Linked DNA regions of Saccharomyces cerevisiae S288C. The gene in region 4 interacts genetically with the main gene of each other region. Each region holds a gene or a part of one and is shown on either strand. Other genes may lie near its edges.

Region 1 (5,682 bases), on a different chromosome or scaffold from region 4:
CACGAAGGGAGAAGTGGGTTTGGAGGGACTTGACATATATGTGTTGAGTTTATGCTATGATTCTTTTTAAAGAATTCTATTATTAAAAGGATTAGGAAAAAAGGAACAAAGTACGAACAATGTGAAAGCAAATAGAAAAAGAAACGGATGGTTTTTTAAACTCTCTCAACGCTCTTGCGTTTAATCAACTCTTTTGATTAATTTGTTTCACCTGAGACTCTGTCACAGCAGAAAGAAGCAGCGAAAGTAATACTAAGAGGTAAACCACCGAGTAAGCGATGAATCTGGTTTGTCTATTGTCTGTCTCTATGCAATAGCAGGTAAGATCAACAAAAGCGATAATAACAAGAAATACATTAAAAACTTTATGATCCGGAATTAAACGTGGACCCTCGAGCGGACTAATGCTTACATTAGTGTAGGACGGTCGATCCCGGCTTCCATGGAACGGTTGAAAAATTTGGTGCGAAAAAAAAAAAAAAAACGAACAGGGTAGGAAAAAGTAAACTAAAACGCGTCTAGTAAAAATCTGGCGTAAAACTAAAGGTAGAGAAAACCATTTTAGCGACGCTACATTTTTGAGAAATGCGCCTCTTTAGATGACCATCTATGGTTTTTGCATTTATCGTAAATTTTTTTTTTTTTGCAGCAGCAGCAGCATAGTAATGATATATATTTATATATTCAGTTGAGAAAACTTATACAGAAATGATCACTCGGGTTTCTTCTTTGCATACAATTTCGTCCATTCGCGAGCCTTAGCTTTGGCACCTTGCTCATTCTTTATCCAATCTTCAGCGACGTCATTAGCTAGCGGATCATTAGGATTAGGGCTAGCCAACAGTGCTTGAATGGACAGCAGGACGGTTCTGATCTGTAAAGCGGGTGACCAATTAGTTTTAAGCACATCAAGACATATACGGCCCAACCTATCAATATTGGGATGATATATCTTGGTTAAAAAACGTACTTTCGGTGCTTCCATTGGATAGTCGTCAGGCAGATATAATTCTAATTCGAAAATACCGTCTTCATATGGTGACTGTTCTGGGCCTTCGATTGTTACTTGGAAGTAACGTAAGTTGTCGTCATGTGGTTCTGCTGTAATGCCAGGTACTGGGTCACTTACTAATTTCTCAGTTTCCTATATGAAAGTTCACAAAGACTTTGCGTTTTCTGCCCTAGTAGTTTGTTCTGTTGAATTCCCTCCATATGAGCGTTTGCGGATATGGACAAAGGGAAGGCGGAACGCTGCTACAAACTGGACAAAAAAAGCCTTCTTGTTTTGGAAGTTTTGCGTTAGTATGTAAGTTCTAGCCATTATCAAGAGGAAACAGTGTAGAGTGTGACGGCTCAGACGAAAACGTCACTTCAGATTTCGTATATAATCCACTGCTCTTGTTTGAACATACCTTGATTATTCTCTTGGGTAATGATGCCATTTCTAACTATGTTACAATGAACCTGACCTTATTTGCTAATATTGGAAAAAAAAAGAACAGAAGAGTGTAAAGTACTATTCTCTATAGAGGTGTTTTGGTTCGTGGTGGCGCGCCATCTTTCAATGAATCACTTATCCTTTGTTTTAAAAACACCATAATTTCGGGTAACAATACGGATGCGGCATAATTAACTGAACTATTCTCTTTGATGGTTTAAAGGAAAACAAATTCCTGTTAGATGCCCATTATATTTGTTCACATGTAGAGAAGGCAAAGAAAAAACTGCTTATTGTACTTTGGTAATTTTTTAAATGATATTTAAAACGTTAGTATTTTCTGTTCCCGCGGCTCCCGCAGAATCTAATCATTAAGCTTGACTAGTATCAAGCTTTTTTCCTTCTTGTTCTGCATTCAAGTATTTGTTGGTAGTATTTCTAGACATCGAAAAGCTTTTTTAGCCCAGAAAAAAAGAGATGAAACGCTTAAATATCTCAAAATTAACATGAATTTATATTCTGTAAAAAAAGTATCGTCGCAAAATGAGAAATTAATGTTTAGCGATCTAATAGTGATCTTGAATATTTGACTACTTTGTTTGGATAACTTTTTCAGCATTGTCAGCATGCCCAAGAATAACGATTATTTTGCATCCAGATAAATGCTTCCAAGAACCTTTACTAGTTTTGTTTCTTGGTTTTTTATCGTCTAAATAAAAAAAGACGTCCTTGTTAAATTTCTCCCCAGTTGAAAAAAAATGTCTTGTGGCCTATCATGGTTTACTACAAACTGAATTGGAAAAGGATTTTCCTAATAGTTTGATGTCATGTAAAACGCCCTCGTATCTGCAACGGAAATACACAAATAAAGAAATATCAAATTAGCCGCCGACGTGTCATTTTCGTCGTTGTTGATGATCAAATTATCACAGTAAAAAATAGTACGGAATAGCGTACTTGAAAGGAGCATCGTTTAAAACACCGCGGAGGATAAGAAAGAGCCGGTCATTAGCATCCTACCCTTCACATAGTAAAGACTGAACATGACTATACGCTGCTTCAGTCACCTGTTCATAAGCAAATACCATGGATAGAAAAACAATCTCTTGTTACTCGTGTGCATCGAACCAGATTTCTAGCCGGGTAGTTTTGCAACTGAAAAAATTTTCTATTTTTTTTCTCAATCGCATCGCTCGCTAGCAAAGTGAAAGTGAAAAAAAAAAAATGTAAAACTGGGCATTAACCTTTATTGTTTCTGTATTCTTAGATCTTCATTGTGATCTGTTTCAGCGCGAATTCCACCTAGCCTTCTGCAAAAGTTCTTAAGAAAACACGACAGACCATAATGAGTGATAAAAACAGTCGTATCGCTATCGTTAGCGCTGATAAATGTAAACCAAAAAAGTGTCGTCAAGAGTGTAAACGTTCGTGTCCCGTTGTGAAAACTGGTAAATTATGTATTGAAGTCACTCCAACTTCAAAAATCGCATTCATTTCCGAAATCTTGTGTATTGGTTGTGGTATTTGCGTTAAGAAATGTCCATTTGATGCTATTCAAATTATCAATTTGCCAACTAATTTAGAAGCCCATGTAACTCACCGTTACTCTGCCAATAGTTTCAAACTGCACAGATTGCCAACACCAAGACCGGGTCAAGTCCTTGGTTTAGTCGGTACCAACGGTATTGGTAAGTCTACCGCCTTGAAAATCTTAGCCGGTAAACAAAAACCTAATTTAGGTCGTTTTGATGATCCTCCTGAATGGCAGGAAATTATTAAATATTTCCGTGGTTCTGAATTACAAAATTACTTCACCAAGATGCTGGAAGATGATATCAAGGCTATAATCAAACCTCAATATGTTGATAACATTCCTCGTGCTATTAAAGGTCCGGTTCAAAAAGTTGGCGAACTTTTGAAATTGAGAATGGAAAAAAGTCCTGAAGATGTGAAACGCTACATCAAAATTTTACAGTTGGAAAACGTTTTGAAAAGAGATATTGAAAAGTTATCTGGTGGTGAACTGCAAAGATTTGCCATTGGTATGTCATGTGTTCAAGAGGCTGATGTTTATATGTTCGATGAACCTTCATCTTATTTGGATGTTAAGCAACGTTTGAATGCCGCTCAAATTATTAGATCTTTACTAGCTCCAACTAAATACGTTATTTGTGTTGAGCACGATTTGTCAGTTTTGGATTATCTTTCCGATTTCGTTTGTATCATATATGGTGTTCCATCTGTTTACGGTGTTGTTACATTACCAGCCTCTGTCAGAGAAGGTATCAACATATTCTTGGACGGTCATATTCCTGCTGAAAACCTGAGATTCAGAACTGAAGCTTTACAATTTAGAATAGCTGATGCTACCGAAGACTTGCAGAATGACTCTGCTAGTCGCGCCTTCTCTTACCCAAGTTTGAAGAAAACTCAAGGTGATTTTGTTTTGAATGTTGAAGAAGGTGAATTCTCCGATTCCGAAATCCTTGTTATGATGGGTGAAAACGGTACCGGTAAGACCACTTTGATCAAATTACTAGCTGGTGCTTTGAAGCCAGATGAAGGACAAGATATTCCAAAATTGAATGTTTCTATGAAACCACAAAAAATTGCACCAAAGTTCCCAGGTACTGTCAGACAATTGTTTTTCAAGAAAATTAGAGGACAATTCCTAAATCCACAGTTTCAGACTGATGTCGTTAAACCTTTAAGGATTGACGATATTATTGATCAAGAAGTCCAACATTTGTCTGGTGGTGAATTACAAAGAGTCGCCATCGTCTTGGCATTGGGTATCCCAGCAGACATATACTTGATTGATGAGCCATCTGCCTACTTAGATTCCGAACAACGTATTATCTGTTCTAAAGTTATCAGAAGATTCATCTTACATAATAAGAAAACTGCGTTTATTGTCGAGCACGATTTCATCATGGCTACTTATCTTGCTGATAAGGTCATTGTTTTTGAAGGTATTCCTTCCAAGAATGCTCACGCAAGAGCCCCTGAATCTTTGTTGACTGGTTGTAACAGATTTTTGAAGAATTTGAATGTCACCTTCAGAAGGGATCCAAACTCCTTCAGACCAAGAATTAATAAGCTAGATTCCCAAATGGATAAAGAACAAAAATCATCAGGAAACTACTTTTTCTTGGATAACACCGGTATTTAAGCATCTTGGGATTCGGAGAACCAAGAGGACGATTGTTTTATTTTTGGGTTTAGAAATGTGGAGAAATAATTAAGAGTTATAATGTTTTTGCAAAACAAAATGAGTATTATATTACATTGAGTTCCTTCCCAAGCATCGGGTTGTTTATTTCTAGATATACGCCAACTAATACATTTCTAACTTCCCACCTTCATTACATCATAACCTGAAAGTGAACAACCTCCTCTTCGGTGATCCGTACTCCAGTTTATTTCATTTTTCTGTAAAGCAACTACACTATATTTATTCTCTATTTATTTTATATACCTATTGTATTTTAATTAATCGTTATTTTGTCCGCACCTTCTTCGTAATCGAATTTACCTTGTAAACGAGTCGTCATGATAAGCATTTGCTGCATTACTGAACGTTTATCTTAGCATGACATTAAAGTCCGTTTGTCTAAAATATCACCCAATTATTTCCGCGGTGTGAGCGCCAGATAAGGTGCTTCGGGTAATATGAGAACGCCGTTTCTTGATAGCATTTTTCAATGACTAGATAGGTAGATTACCTCTGTATCACACTTCTCGTACCAAACGAAACTCATATAAATAATGCTTTCCTTCTGGTGCCTTCTACTTTCCGCTGATCTCTATTTTCAAATTAACCGCTGAAATATAAACTGTGGAATACTATAACATAACATAGATTTAAGAATAAGGTATTCATGATCTCTGAAAAGGCTGCTACCGCTTTAGCTACTATAGCAACAGTTTGCTGGTGTGTCCAGCTAATTCCGCAAATAATATATAATTGGAAAAAAAAGGACTGTACGGGGCTGCCACCACTGATGATGTTCCTCTGGGTTGTTTCCGGAATTCCATTTGCCATATATTTCTGTGTTAGTAAAGGTAATGTCATTTTACAAGTTCAACCACACCTTTTTATGTTCTTCTGTTCTATAAGTTTCGTCCAATCGTGTTATTATCCACCAATCAGTATGGCGAGATCCAAAATAGTAATGATTGTAGCTGCTATTATTGCGGCTGATGTTGGCATGGAAGTTGGCTTTATATTATGGCTGAGGCCC
Region 2 (4,840 bases), on a different chromosome or scaffold from region 4:
ACTGATCTGATGTGAGACAAGAAAGCATTACCCAAACCTTCACCAGCAGAGGCACCCTTAGTCAAACCAGCAATATCGTAAACGGTCAAATGAGCTGGAACTTCCGAAGCTGTCTTCTTGTAGATTTCACACAACTTATCAAATCTTGGAGATGGGACAATAACACGGGCTTCTTCTGGATCAATGGTAGCGAATGGATAGTTAGCTGGGTTACCCAATGGACATCTAGTGATGGCTTGGAAAAAGGTAGACTTACCAACATTGGCCAAACCGACAATACCGGCTTTCAAGTTATTACCTGGACGACCCAATAAGACCTTTTTTTCTTCGACTTGCTTCTTTGGAGGCATGTTTTACAGTGCTATTTATTTGATTGTTTTTACGGATACTAGAAGTAACACAAAAAGCTAAAAAAGGCAAAATGCAATAAAAAATTAGTACTAATTATCAACTGAATACACTACTAAATACGATTTCTCGCAACGAAAGGTATGAGAGAGAAGACGTAAGTTGACTTTCACTGCATCCTTCCTTTTGGGTCATAAAATCGCTGGGATGGCCCTTGAAAAAATTTTTTCAGTGAAAAAAAAAAGAATTTTCGAGAAAAAAAAAAAATTAGGAATTGTGCGTGGTCATTCAATACGGAGAATTAAGTAACACGCAACAACTGCATTCTGCCTTAGTTGTCTCAAGGCAAATTGGCACCAACAATATGAACTTGTTGTAAAGCTCAACTCCAAAGAAGGGAAACTACTCAGATTTGTTTTCTTCAGTTTAACAGGCGTATCTTCTGCAAATCTACTACGTTTCCTACCGAAGACTTCGCTCTACGAGAATTCTTAGGTTTCTACGAGTTACGCGCCCTTCTTCGAACGCCATTCTCAGGAAAAATTGCATTTACGTAATCTTTTGTTCTAATTGATATAATGGCTATTTATACGTAATATCATGCTTAAGAACCAAGAAAGCCAATAATGGCATTCGGAGGAAGCAATCAGTGAGGAAAATTGTTGATTAAGCTAGATATTTCTATATCTAGTAGATCTTGTCAAGTTGAAGTAGCGAATAGGACTCCTGTATTGCTATTGTGATGTTTTTTTATTGTACAGTAGTTGTATAACTTATCGTTGGTATTAACTACCGTTTGTTTATACATCATGCTCATTATCTCGTCCTGACTAATGTGAAAGGATCGATATATACATTGAAGGGTCGACGTCCCCTTTTATTAGCTCCTACAAAGATAGCACTGGCATATATTTTTTAATGTCTTGGTATATATTATATAGCAACTATACTCGATGTCATAAAGAGGAATACTATCTTTGGTGGTTGTCTAACTCTGAGCAATGCTAAGGCCCTTACCATTCTAAAACAACCATTTTTTTCTTCCCCTTCCCAGTTATACCTTTTTTGACTAGTTCTAGTAACTGTTCGTCAGTAGTAGTGTTAGTATTCCAGGTAAGAGTTTCAATTTCATCTCTTGGTGAAATAATGTGACCATAATTATACATTTTGATAAAATCACTGATGGTGTCAATCTTGCTTTGGGGGTTTTTTTTGTTCTTTTCAGTCACCCAGTACCCTTTGGATGTCAAGCCTTTGAAAATGTGTAGAGATGTTGGTAAAGTTACAGGTTGTTTTGACATTCCTCCATAAGTGAGCATCAAAGCATTATTTTCCAACTTACGTGCTATTGATGCACTGGATTTACCTCCAACAGAATTCAAGGCAAGCCTCACCCTTGCATTTTCACCCAAAATCTTGGACAATACTTCTTTGGCAAAAGTCTTGTCGTTGTTTTGCGATTCGGAAATAACCTTCGTAGCACCATACTTATCCTCCAAAACTTTTGCTACCTCATCAAAATTATCACGGTCACGTATAACACTTAATGTTTTGATCCCTTTAGCTTTTGCTACTTGCGTAACTATTTTTGATACACTAGATGTACCGGCATTTTGGATAATCCATTCATTACCGTTACTGTTCCAGTCGATATAGTCTGATACTAATTGGAAACCGGTACAACCATTAACAGATACAGTTGCCGCAGAAAACAGATCCAAATCATTTACCTTGATTAAATCAGAACTACTAGAGAAAACTCTATAATTGGACCAAGTCCCTTGATTTGCCTGCAATGGGATAACTCGGTCACCCAATTTCAAATCTCCCTTGGAACTTCCCGAAGGTAAAGAAACAACTTCAAAGACACCCTCATTACCGGCGATAGCGGCTGGCTCATCTGTGGAGTAATCGTATGTCTTTTCTGGACGAGACGGGTATACTCCTTGCAACTGATTGATATCCGAAGGGTTTATGGGAAAGGCCAAAGTTTTTAACACAATTGATTGAGATAAGTCTTGTTTAGGCGTATAATTTTTCACTGACAAAACCTTGGTACAATCCTCAACTTCATGAGTTGAATAGATGAGCGATTTGAAGTGCTTGGGAATCTGATGAGCTGAGGACGACATGTAACGTTTGAATGTGGGAAGCATCTTGTTATATCAAATGTAATTGGCAGATTATGAACCTTCTTAAATGACAATGTACGTTTGTAATCTCCAATTTCTTTAGCCATGGAAACAACCCCTGGGTACACCACTCGTGCGTCCCTTGGAGGAGAACCACTCTTTTAAGGTAAAAAAAAAAGCACCGGCGGGGTCCAATAATGATAATAATACCATAAATAAGGAAGATGGTATCACCGATTGGTCCAGAAGTATTATCCATACAGTTGTTTTTAATATTATTACATACATTATATATTAAAAATGTGTTTCGTAACCCTAAAGCAAAACAAAGTATATACAGTGACACAGATCCTTTAAACATCAAAAAAACAAAAAAAAGTAAGTCAGTGCAGATCCGAGCCTTCTCTCTTAATCTATCTAACTTTTAATTCAAAAGTACTTCTCCAAATAGCTACCACTTGCTTTATAACTAAATCCCTTGAACATATCCGGGGACTTGCTCACCGAATTGATATTAATCGGCTTGCTATCCGTATAGGTTTCCTCATATGACATAGAAGTAAATTCTGTGTCAAAATTTTCCGCTAGTTCCAAATCCGTAATAACTGGAACAATTGGGCCTAGAGTGGTTTTTTGCAATTGTCCAGATTCTAATAACTTCCAGTCTATTTTTCTAAAGATAAAATGTTCAGTGAAAAGACTAGTTCTTGCAGCCCCTGATTTCTTCTTCTTAGACTTAGTAGGCTTATTATTAGCCCCGGTTTTGGCCCAGTATTTGTCAACATTCCACCTTTTGGCAGTTTCCTTCTTCAACAGCGCGTTTAATATATCTTTCATTCCCTCGCTCAGATAAAATGGAATTTTGGGGCCTTGCTTGTTTTGTTGAATCTTATTAATGATCACCTTATGATTGCTACCAGTATATGGAGGCTTACCTACTAACATGTCATACAACAGACATCCCAAAGAATACCAATCACAATTCTGACTGTAAGCTTTACCTAATAATATTTCAGGCGCACAGTATTCAGGCGTACCGATAATCGAGTATAGGGCATTGACGTTCTCTGGATCCTCCTCATCAACCGCGGAATCATTAGCACTTTTTTTACTCAGACCAAAATCTGTCAATACTAAATGTCCACGTTGATTCAATAAACAGTTTTCAGGTTTTAAATCTCTATAGACAACACCTTTCGTATGCAAAAATCTCAAGGCACAGCTGATTTCTGCCGCGTAAAACGAAACTGTCGTCTCATCTAGGGTCCCGTGTTCCTTCAAGTGGTAAAATAGTTCACCGCCAGGGATATATTGTAGCAGTAAATATAACTTTGAGTTATCGTGAAAAGAATAAAATAACTTGACAATGTTTGGATGTTCTATTTCAGATAGAATAGACCGTTCGGCAAATGTTCTCTCAAGCCTCTTTGATAATCCATCGTCATTATCGTTGTTATTACCATCATTTTTATCTTCGTCTTCTCTCTTGGAATCTGTGGCTGTTTGAGAAATTAAAATTTCTGCTTTCCGTAATTGCTTCATAGCATACAGCTTGGATGTATTGACGTCCTTAACAAGAAGAACTTTACCGTAGGCACCTTGGCCTAGGACTCTCACGGGCTTAAAATCGTGCAGGTTCCTTGATAATTCATTTTCTCCAATATTAGAGGAAATAATGTCCTGAGGTGTTATGGATAGTCTATTCGTATTAGTTCGCATTGCGTCCGAACCTGTAATAGAAAATCTTCTCGTATTTGGTGGAGTGAGAATAGGGAATTTGGAATAAGCTGAGGACCTTCTTCTCATCCTATGTGCAGGACTCATGCCATTTAGCGGAATCGCATTTGAATGAACCGAGAGGTGATTTATACTCTCCTCATATGTGATGGAGCTGCCTTGTTCATGATTGATATCATTGTATATTGCCGAGGAATAATCTACTTTAATGTCATTCTTTTTATCATCTAGTGACACACGATGAAGTTCTTCATCTAGTGAGAAAATCATCCTAATTACTGCCAACAGTATGCTCAGCTAGATTGGTTGATGAAAAATCTTATCATAGGGCACCTTCCAGGTAAAAGATCTACTTACTATTAGTCAGTACGTCCTTTTTTCATTTGTTTATAATTTTTTTTTTTTTTTTTTTTTTCTCCTCTCAATATTTTAGAAGTAACATGACAGAGCAACACGTTTATTTTCCTACATATAGTCATAAGTATAAAAACGAGCGAGAAATTTTGTTAAAGAATTGATATCATATTTTATAATTTACATAAACTAAATAGGGAAAGAGTAGTATAGCGTGCATAAGTTTGAAAAAAAAAAACTATTCATACACTCATATATACTTTTATATG
Region 3 (4,714 bases), on a different chromosome or scaffold from region 4:
GGGGTGTCCAAAACGCTTTTGCACTCTGCGGCCAATGTCCATGAACTAATTCTTTACACATAACCACAGTAATAAACTTGCAAAGAAAAAAGCAATGTCACTCCTTTCATGTGCGTTCTTTTGACGTTACAAAAGTTGAGCTGTTCAATGACGTATTTATAAGTATTAAGAAGTTCTCTCTCTTCAGTGGATGATGGACCGGATGTCGATACATGATTTGTCGATATTAGTACAATTACTACAGAGCCCATTGGGGTTATCTTTATTATTGCACTCTGCATGTGGCATCGACATATCCTTCTGTTCTGTGGCCACACCGTCGTCACTTTTACGGTGATCTGTTTCCAGTTCTTTACAAACGCAAGTAGTGTTGTCGTTACAAAAGCCGCATTTGACAGAGCTAGGCAGTTCTGTCGAGTGCTGGTGGCGCTTGATAGCGGTATTGTACTTAATAGGTATCGCCTTCATTGGTTTGAAATTCTCGATCAAATTCTGCAGGATAGGGTCCTGAGCAGGCACAGAGGCTTGTTTCAGAGTAAGGGTCTCCAATTTCTGTTTAAGGGCATGATTTTCCGATTCTTTCGCTTGAAGTTCATTTTGGAGGCGGTTTAGTTTCGTTTCGTAGTTTTTAACGACCTTACTCAGTGACTCTATGGTTTCCTCCAGCACTTGCAACTTGTTGTTTTTGCGTTCTCTGTAGGCCCTTTGGGCGTCTCTATTCTGCCGTTTTTTCTTCTGTAGCTCCTCATCATTTTCTTCAGTTTCGTAATCTTCGTGAAGTCGATGAACTCTTTTCCTCCGCTGAGCTGCTCTATGGGGCAACCTTGGAGGCAGTTTCCAATTTTTGGACACGTGGATCTTGGACAAAAGAGCGAGGTGGCTTTCCTCAGACTCCTTAGGTTTTATCAGAGGTAGAGCCATGACTGTGATAATATGCTAGTTACACTGTTTATGTTGTGTGAACTTGTTGTAATATGGTTAACTTCACTTTCAGTGATTGATATGATAGCGACATCACTGCCGTGCAAAAAGACCATTCCATTACTGCACCTTTTTGTCCTTTTCCGTGGAATAAAAGTTCACTCGTCAGTTCCATGCATTCTGGAAAAAAATGATCTGAAAGATGCCACAGTTGTGGGGCCCGCCCGGCCCAATAGGTAAACTAAAATACAATAGAAGGGGTACTGAGTGCACGTGACTTATTTTTTTTTTTTGGTTTTAGGTTTCGCTTTTTTCACCTTTTTCTACTTTCTAACACCACAGTTTTGGGCGGGAAGCGGAAACGCCATAGTTGTAGGTCACTGGCGTGAGTCAAGGCCGGGCAGCCAATGACTAAGAACACGAGGTAACTTGAATTTAACTATTTATAACCAGTGGTAGTTACGAAGACAAATTGTTTTGTTCGTCAATATGAGTGCGAAACAAGGGTGGGAAAAGAAATCAACAAACATTGACATTGCAAGCAGGAAGGGTATGAACGTGAACAATCTTTCGGAACATCTACAGAACCTGATATCAAGCGATTCAGAGCTGGGCTCGCGCTTGCTATCATTGCTGCTGGTTAGCAGTGGCAACGCGGAGGAGCTCATTAGCATGATAAATAATGGCCAGGATGTCTCGCAGTTTAAGAAGCTCCGCGAGCCGAGAAAGGGGAAGGTTGCCGCAACAACAGCAGTTGTTGTAAAAGAAGAGGAAGCTCCCGTGAGCACTTCTAACGAACTGGATAAGATTAAGCAAGAGCGGAGAAGAAAGAACACAGAGGCGTCGCAGCGGTTCCGCATTCGCAAGAAACAAAAGAATTTTGAGAACATGAATAAGCTGCAGAACTTAAACACGCAAATCAACAAACTTCGCGATCGTATAGAGCAATTGAACAAGGAAAATGAGTTTTGGAAAGCAAAGCTCAATGACATTAACGAGATTAAGTCTTTGAAATTGTTGAATGACATTAAGAGACGGAACATGGGCAGGTAGCCCGCGAAACGTGCGGGCCTGATGTCTTGTTTTTCCTCTCCAACTTCGATTTTTCGATTTTTCCGTTTCTTTACCTAGCATATATATACACACATCTATCTACATATAAATATATATATATGTATATTTATTATTTATAGCATTGCGCGTGAGACAAAAGCGAGATCTTTTCGTCCCACTCCGCATTGATCAAGGACCGTTTATATTCCACAGACTCTATCTCGCTGGGAGAGCACCATCCTATAGTACGAAAGTTTGTAATAACTCGAGCGTACTGAGCGTCTTCCAGTTGTTGTTGGCGGCGTAAAGACTGCGCGGCTGCAGATGTGACGATAAATCTCTCGGAATCTGGGCGGCTAGCGGGACATACTGAATGCGTATGTTTGTCTCTGGGCATACTGTTCCTTCGAAAGAAAATACTCGAGGCTTTGGCAAGAAAACTGAGTTTTTCTTGTTCTGCCGGAACGCTAAGGCTTCCAGTTATGTCTTCGCGGCCAGATTTTCCTTGGTGTAAGATTGCAGATATTGCGCTCACAGAACTACGGTGCCGCCGACTTTGAACGCGCGGGCTGGACGATGATGACGATGACATATCTAGAGCCTTGGATAGGTCTCGCGACATGGAACTGTCGTCGTCGTCTTCATCATCGTCGTCGTCGTCGTTCCTTGAGGCGTCTTCGACTAATGACGGAGCATGGATGGCGCCTGCGCCATCTCGCGATAGTGTCATGTACTTGTGAAAAGCCGCCGAATCGTCATCCACATCATCATGTGGACCGAGCAACGAGGGCAGCAGACCATCTATAGAACTTCCTCGCGAACACGGTCCTGGCTCTACACCTGGTCCTTGTTCATCATGAGTCAAAGTTTCCGTAGCAGTCACATCAACTGGTAGTCCGACGCCTAGCAAACACCTCGTGCCACTCATTACCGACCACAACACCTCCTTGCGGTGTTTATCCGCTATGCTGGCAAGACGGAATCCTACATTACCTTCTTCAAACGGGCGTCTCGTTTTTTTCCCTGTGTTTTATGTCGTAGTTTTCCCTCAAAATACAGGCACGTACCCCATGTATAGGGGCAAGGGGGTGGGGGGTCGGCTCTTAAAGAAAATCTGGAAACTCCGCATTTTTGTCCTGCTCAAAACATTGGTCCAAAACCCTACCAATAACCCTAAGAATTTAGTAGATTACCCTCCCGCTCCGAGTAGGTCCTGTAATTAGGATCGGCGCCAATATTAAAACGTTTAACGGTACCGCACCCACACATTACCGAAAGCGCTCCGTCGGATGTGATTTCCAGTTTTTTTGGGGTCCATAACAACCGATGGCATTTTTTACAAATTGTTCTCTTTATCGTAGGAAGCAGTGATGTCTTGGTTTTCTTACTAATTAGGTCCATTGATTTGATATAATTGCGTGCCAAAGGCGTATGTGCGTCTGTTCTTGCTTTCTGTCTTGCTCTTGTTTGGTAAGCGGATATTTGGTAGAGGTAGTTTAATCTATGGAAATGGTCCTGGTTCGCAATCGTCCTTGGTGGCGGTACTAGCAGAGTACCATTTTCGTCGATCTCAGGTTTCATCTTTCCTCCGTGTGCTTTCTTGCCCATCTTTTTGCTTGTCTTTTCTCTGTCGGCGATGTGGGAAGGACAGTAGAAGAACCACGTATTGTTTTATTTTCTGTTCATCTTTTTTTTCCGTTCTTTTCATTTTGGTAATTTTTTTTCTTTTCCTTTCTTGAATTTATTCGGCGATATTCAGTAGAGGAGTGATCTCTGTAGCGTCATCCCCGTCTGCCTGTTGAGGAATCGACTTGTCATGATTCTTGAGTACTATGAGTTCCGGTCCGGTTGCATCCATGTGCCAGGTATTAAGTTTGAGAATGTTGAGTGCGCCCTCTTCTTCTGCATTCAACTCCTTGACAATAAGTTTCACGTTCTGAAGACTCGAGCTCAGTGAGCCGTTTATTATTACAATCTGGCAGAAAAGTAATAAAATATCGAGTAGTACCAGAAGTAGCTTGCTAGGAAACGCTGTGGGTACCGGACAAGTAAATTCCCTTATCAAAAGCATTATCACAAATCCGTACGGTTTGGAACATATGTCTCTCGATACGTCTAGCCTAATGTGGTATACTATACAGTACGCTGTTTCTAGAAGTATTAGGCCTTGGTAATATCGTATGGCTTTGTTTATTATCATTCTTACAATAGGTGTTTCTAACCCTCTGATGGCAAGACTTTCATCATCTTCCTGATCATTGTCGCGGCCCACCTCTAAATAGTTCTTCTTCAGGTACCTGAGTGTCAATTCCTGAATGAAATCACAGAGCGATGAAATTATCCACCCCAGGAGGATCAAGAATAATGATCCATCTTTGATAAACCTCAAGTACAGGCAGCAATAAACGAATTTCTGCAAATTCGCTATCACTGACCTTTGTCGTCCATTGTCATCTTCCAAATGCAACATTTCCTTCCGATGCCCTGCTCCTTTCCCTTTCTGTATTAGCTTGTCATCTAAGCCTTCGTCATTGAAGTATCCCTTCCCTTTCTTTCCCTGGAGAAAAGCCATATGAGAAGTTTATATTACCCGGTTTAAAGTTTGTTTTTTTTTTTTTTTCTACCACTAGAATGCTCTCTATAGTACCCATGATGCATTAGTTGAACACTAGCAGGTCAGGTTTTGTACCCTCCCGAATTATGGCTATCTCCTCAATTGCGATGACATTGTCAATATGAA
Region 4 (5,195 bases):
CTTGAATAAAAGCATTACAACTAAAAGAAATTCATTGACAGAGTCGAAAAGGCATGTCCATGATGGCAAGCATTTTTTTACGACGCCACATCAACAGCAACAGACGAAGTTGGGGGAAATTGAAGAGGGACACAGTCCTAACATAAAAGGAGAGGACTTGAGAAGCATTGGTCAAGCAATAACACATCAGCGAAACAAGCGCCGAAAGCAAATATGGTCCGCCATATTTGGTGGTATATTCGGTGTGATATTAGGATACTCACTAATCTATAGAGTGATATATTTAAAGGAACAAAGTTTCTTACCATTGTTTCCATCATCCAAGATACGTAAACTGAGTACCAGAGATTTGAAAAAGGTTGACGTAAACCAAGTACAGAAGCTTTCTAAATTAAGGGTTTTAGAGATATTATCCGGTCATGACATGATCAAGGAACAATACGGAGTACCATTGCTTGATAAAGATGGCAATTCACCCACGTTAAATGAATTCAGCATGTGGTGCGAAGATCAAGATCCATGTGTAACTGGTATTGTAATGGAGCCAGACGATAAAAGGGATAGTTCGCACACTTGGTATAGAATACCCTTTGTTTGCAAATGGAGGATAACGCATCGGCCAATAAGTATACGGGGAACCATCGACGATTTACTGAACCGCATTGGTTTGGAAACAGCCGATTTATTTGAGATTATATCGCCGGAGAGGGTATACGGGTCGTTCAAGTACGAATACCCACTGCAGGGGGACTCACATGCATTACACCTTTGGTTTCATGGCGAAATCGAACTGGACGATGATTCTTTGATTGTATATAATGGAAAATACCACGTTGATGTTAAATTGCAAGAAATCGACCTCTTCAGACGTGAAAAGAACGGACAACTAATACAGTACGTTCTATACAAAAACGAAGCGGGCGACAAGTAAGAAAAATGTAAATATTTTTATCACAATTATGATTATTATCGTTATTAAACTACTTATTTTCGGTTACGTAGATGAAATAGTGTTATATAAGAATATTTGAGAAAGTAAAACTGATAAATAAATATAATGGAATGAAAAAATAGAGACGAACTGGAAGAAGAGAAAAAAAATTAAAGCACCAAATTTACTACTCTGGGGCCTATAGATGGAATATCAAAGGGGAAGATGAGAAAAGAAATTATACATTTCAGAAACGTCAATAGGGTATCATCATCGTGGCAGTAAGCGGCGTTTTTCCTAAATCAAAAAGGCCAAAGCACCACCAACAGCAGCACCGACGACTCCGGCGTTTAGTAGTTGACCATTTTGAGCGTGCAAAGCAGGAGCAGCGTTACTCGTGGTGTTGGATGCGTTTTGAGCATTTACGCTAGTAGCGAGGCCGAAGACAGAGATGGCAGAAATGAAAACTTGTGATACTTTCATGTTTAAATCGATATTAAATTAGCGTGCTTGCTTGGAGGGCTTTTCAGAATGAAAAAAAAAAGAATGAAGAAAGAATTAACCAAAGAATGGAGGTTATGTGTAAGAAATGGCATTTATATATACATTTATATAAAAATGTATAAACATACTTGCATTATTGATGTCCCATAAGGGGTGAGAAAAGACAAAAATGGAAACAGGGGAAAAGAAGAAGAGTAAAAAAAGGATTATTTTAGGAGAGAAAGGGGATTAGAAGAACATCGGGCATAAACCTTTGAGCATCATCCTTTATTGATGTTTGACACCTTGCGATTGATGAAAAATATTGATGATATTAAGGTATTTCTGATAGCCACTGCCCCGTCCCTTGAAGCGGCCTTCCGTCGAGGCCTTGGCAACCGTGTCTGGGTGTGTGATATATTACATCAGAGGAAATAAAAGCTTGAGCGGCTAAACTCCCTTAGCTCAGGGGTGGTCTGGCCAGGAATTTTCAGTGGCCATTTTTCCTGTTCCGGGTCCGGCCAATCTGTGCCGGTTTTCTCTAGAGGAAAAAAAAAAGCATGCGGGGTAATGATGTAGAAGATATACAAGCGGGTTAAACTACATTAGTTATGAGTGCTAGAAAGCAAGCGAAGGATAATAGAAGAGGGCTATTCTATGTAAGTATGAGGAGACACAAATGGCGGCTTTTCATATTTTCTTCTGCAATTTCATATAGAAAAGGTGGTAGTCGTCCAGATCATAAACAATTTTGTCTAACTTGATGTAGTCGGGCAGTGACTCGTTGATGCTTAGTAGTTTTTGGAAGGATTGGTTCTGATAATTTTTGGTAAAAAAGGTCATCGAGAACTCTCTTGGTTGAAAAACGTTCAGAATATGTAGAAGAACGTCCAAGTTGTCTTGCTTCCCTTGGGAAATGTCAAATACGGGTATGTTACTTTCGAAAGAGGCGTAAGACCAACCCTTTTCCGGAGTCACGTGCAGGGTGTAATAGTATTTTTCAGCGAGAATCATATTGGATGAGTATCCACATGGCGTGAACGCAAATGCATCGTGGTGAAATGATAAATCGGAGTCTTGGGCCGAGTTGACATATATTTCGTCAAGCCTTGTATTTTTAGTCATTTGGTAGCCGAGGTTGTGGCCCTTATCTTCGTTTGGCTCCACGAGAGCGGTTGTGGATGCCTCAGGCCCGCAAACAAACTTACTAGCGCATTCTGGGTCCAGCTCCGTCATCAGTACTTCGAAAGTTTCGTCGTCATCCTCGATGTACTCCTTTCCCTTAGGTGTGGAGCGGTCCGTCTCGGTGACGTACAGGTTCCAGTGGTTGCTCTTGTCATTTCTTCCCACGGAATAACTTTTACCATTGTCGAAAAATTTGTTCAAATAGTCGACTTCGTCAGCCCAGTTTTGATGGATAGCGGCTTGCTTACAGGGGAAAAGGAAACATCGTCTAGAATAAAACACTTTAAATGGTTTGTACTTGCCCCCTTGTGTTGTGCGGAAAGCCCACGATAACTCTTGCTCAACGATCTGGAAAAGCTTTTCGAGACAGAACAATGTGGTTGTAGTACCGCACGTCTTCATCGTCAATTTGTGATCGAAGACGAAGAGGGAAGACTCACTCAACAAAAAGGCATCCAGTTCTTTAGTCTTCTTCATGGAAAGAACTTCGCATTTCACTAATTTCAAAATCTCGATCCATCTATCCATGCCAATATTTCTTAATGTCTTTTCGGTCGTGATGGACTTCTTGTGAGGGAAGAACCAGATTTCCAGCAACTTCTCGGGACCCTCGAACGCATCCGTTGAGTCTAAAGTGGCTGATAGTTCGTGGTCAATGTAGTTGTGGTTAGTCAATTCTTTTATGGTGACAGTCATTCTATGGTCCGCCTATTTGCGTAAGACACTATATGAAAACCTAAAAAATATAAAAAAGAAGCTACAGTACAGTAATTGATTAACCTGGAAGAAAAAAAAGAAAAAAAGAGTTGATGCAAGGAGCGAGCTGTAGCGAATACAATATATACACGTATAGATATGCAGAGATGCTTTTAGTCGATTAGCAAAGTTTATTCGATGCCTAAATACCGGAGAACCGTGTTTGGAATTTTTTTTCTTCGAGTGGAAAAAAGTGAAAATTTCCAAAGTCAATCATTGTGTACGTACGCTGAAATTGGATGCAGAAGAGGTAAAAGGCGAAGGAAAAGAGGGCGAGGGTAAAAAGCCTGATTGCCAAACCATGGTGCCCAATTTATTGGATATTACTACTGATGGAAGGCTACATATCTCTGGCGCTTTCTATCAGCTGTCATCGATTTGAAATTCTTCTAGCCCTAGGAACGCCATTATGGGGCTTATCCGGGTAGCCAGTTGGCGGTTTTAGTTTTTTCACTTCTTGATTTTTTTCTAGTTCGAAGAATTTTTTCCACTGATGATTGAGCTATAAAAGAGCCTGATTAAGATGAAGAGCTCCGATTCTCTTCGTTAACGGAGCATCAAACATGACGTTAGCGTCAAGTAACCTACGATATTTGTGCAACAGACATGATGGAGTACCCTCATGCTTTGGCGCGTGCGCATCTATATAAGGTTAGGGACTGCAAAAGAAGCGGCGAGGCAGCCCACATCAAGTGGAACTACACAGACTTCCTTGTCGCGATACTACGGTCCCAAGAGCAATCCTAACAAGCAATTACATATTCCCCCGCTGAACCTGTACAGTCCACGGATGGTGCAGAAGTTATATGATTTGGGGGAAGACGCTTTTTCACATCTTCTTGCATGATAAGAGTAGTAGTAACTAAGTAATATGATTCAGTCAGTCTCTAGTTAATATAATTAGGCATTACCCTACATTGTGGCGGCCTCTTTTTTATTTCGAATCGGGCCTTCCTTCCACCCCGGCCCCGGTTGCGTCGATCAGAAAATTATATTATGGATGAGGATGATGAAGGTGCTTAACCTTTACAGTCAAACTTTTAATAGTCAACCATTCACAAGGACTAGGAATTTGTCTCTGGAAACAGCTGGTTCCACAAAGAAGTACTTCCACGACATTGCTATATACTTGTGCTGGTATATTTTTCTTTGTTAGTTAAACCCCATTTTTATAAGCGTATCGTTTCGTATAGTGCCGTACTCAAAGATCAAGGATTAAAACGCTATTTCTTTTAAATCTGCTATGTCTGCTGCTCCTGTCCAAGACAAAGACACTCTGTCCAATGCCGAGCGTGCGAAGAACGTCAACGGGTTGCTTCAGGTGCTCATGGACATTAACACTCTGAACGGAGGGAGCTCCGACACTGCTGATAAGATAAGAATTCATGCCAAAAACTTCGAGGCAGCTTTGTTCGCAAAGAGCTCTTCAAAGAAAGAATACATGGACAGCATGAACGAAAAAGTTGCTGTCATGCGCAACACGTACAATACGAGGAAAAACGCCGTTACTGCTGCTGCCGCTAATAACAACATTAAACCCGTGGAACAGCACCATATTAACAACTTGAAAAATTCTGGCAACAGCGCCAATAATATGAATGTCAATATGAATCTAAACCCACAGATGTTCTTGAATCAGCAGGCTCAGGCAAGGCAACAGGTTGCGCAACAATTAAGAAATCAACAACAACAACAACAACAGCAGCAGCAGCAACAGAGGCGTCAATTGACTCCTCAACAACAACAATTAGTGAACCAGATGAAAGTGGCACCTATTCCCAAACAATTACTGCAAAGAATTCCTAACATTCCACCCAATATCAACACCTGGCAGCAGGTC

The links.
Region 1: mutations in SPE2 (region 4) and RLI1 together harm fitness more than expected from each alone (negative genetic interaction), as found in Saccharomyces cerevisiae (2 studies listed by BioGRID).
Region 2: mutations in SPE2 (region 4) and ETR1 together harm fitness more than expected from each alone (negative genetic interaction), as found in Saccharomyces cerevisiae (2 studies listed by BioGRID).
Region 3: mutations in SPE2 (region 4) and YIR016W together harm fitness more than expected from each alone (negative genetic interaction), as found in Saccharomyces cerevisiae (2 studies listed by BioGRID).

The regions. Positions count from the first base shown.
Region 1 is NC_001136.10:625,636-631,317, reverse strand, and holds RLI1 (Fe-S cluster-binding ribosome biosynthesis protein), read left to right. Parts: upstream 1-2,783; coding exon 2,784-4,610; downstream 4,611-5,682. Other genes in the region: aminophospholipid-translocating P4-type ATPase DNF2, read right to left, coding at 1-36; E2 ubiquitin-conjugating protein UBC13, read right to left, coding at 713-1,144, 1,413-1,442; ILT1 (Ilt1p), read left to right, coding at 5,320-5,682. UniProt on the Saccharomyces cerevisiae protein: Component of the multifactor complex (MFC) involved in translation initiation. Required for the binding of MFC to the 40S ribosome. Required for the processing and nuclear export of the 60S and 40S ribosomal subunits.
Region 2 is NC_001134.8:291,516-296,355, forward strand, and holds ETR1 (enoyl-[acyl-carrier-protein] reductase), read right to left. Parts: upstream 2,505-4,840; coding exon 1,362-2,504; downstream 1-1,361. Other genes in the region: OLA1 (Obg-like ATPase), read right to left, coding at 1-350; YBR027C (uncharacterized protein), read right to left, coding at 2,509-2,841; putative protein kinase YPK3, read right to left, coding at 2,910-4,487. UniProt on the Saccharomyces cerevisiae protein: Catalyzes the NADPH-dependent reduction of trans-2-enoyl thioesters in mitochondrial fatty acid synthesis (fatty acid synthesis type II).
Region 3 is NC_001141.2:380,816-385,529, reverse strand, and holds YIR016W (uncharacterized protein), read right to left. Parts: upstream 2,903-4,714; coding exon 2,105-2,902; downstream 1-2,104. Other genes in the region: YAP5 (Yap5p), read right to left, coding at 184-921; MET28 (Met28p), read left to right, coding at 1,411-1,974; ribonuclease P protein subunit RPR2, read right to left, coding at 3,148-3,582; VLD1 (Vld1p), read right to left, coding at 3,716-4,444.
Region 4 is NC_001147.6:230,342-235,536, forward strand, and holds SPE2 (adenosylmethionine decarboxylase SPE2), read right to left. Parts: upstream 3,296-5,195; coding exon 2,105-3,295; downstream 1-2,104. Other genes in the region: AIM39 (Aim39p), read left to right, coding at 1-931; DDR2 (Ddr2p), read right to left, coding at 1,229-1,414; GAL11 (Gal11p), read left to right, coding at 4,599-5,195.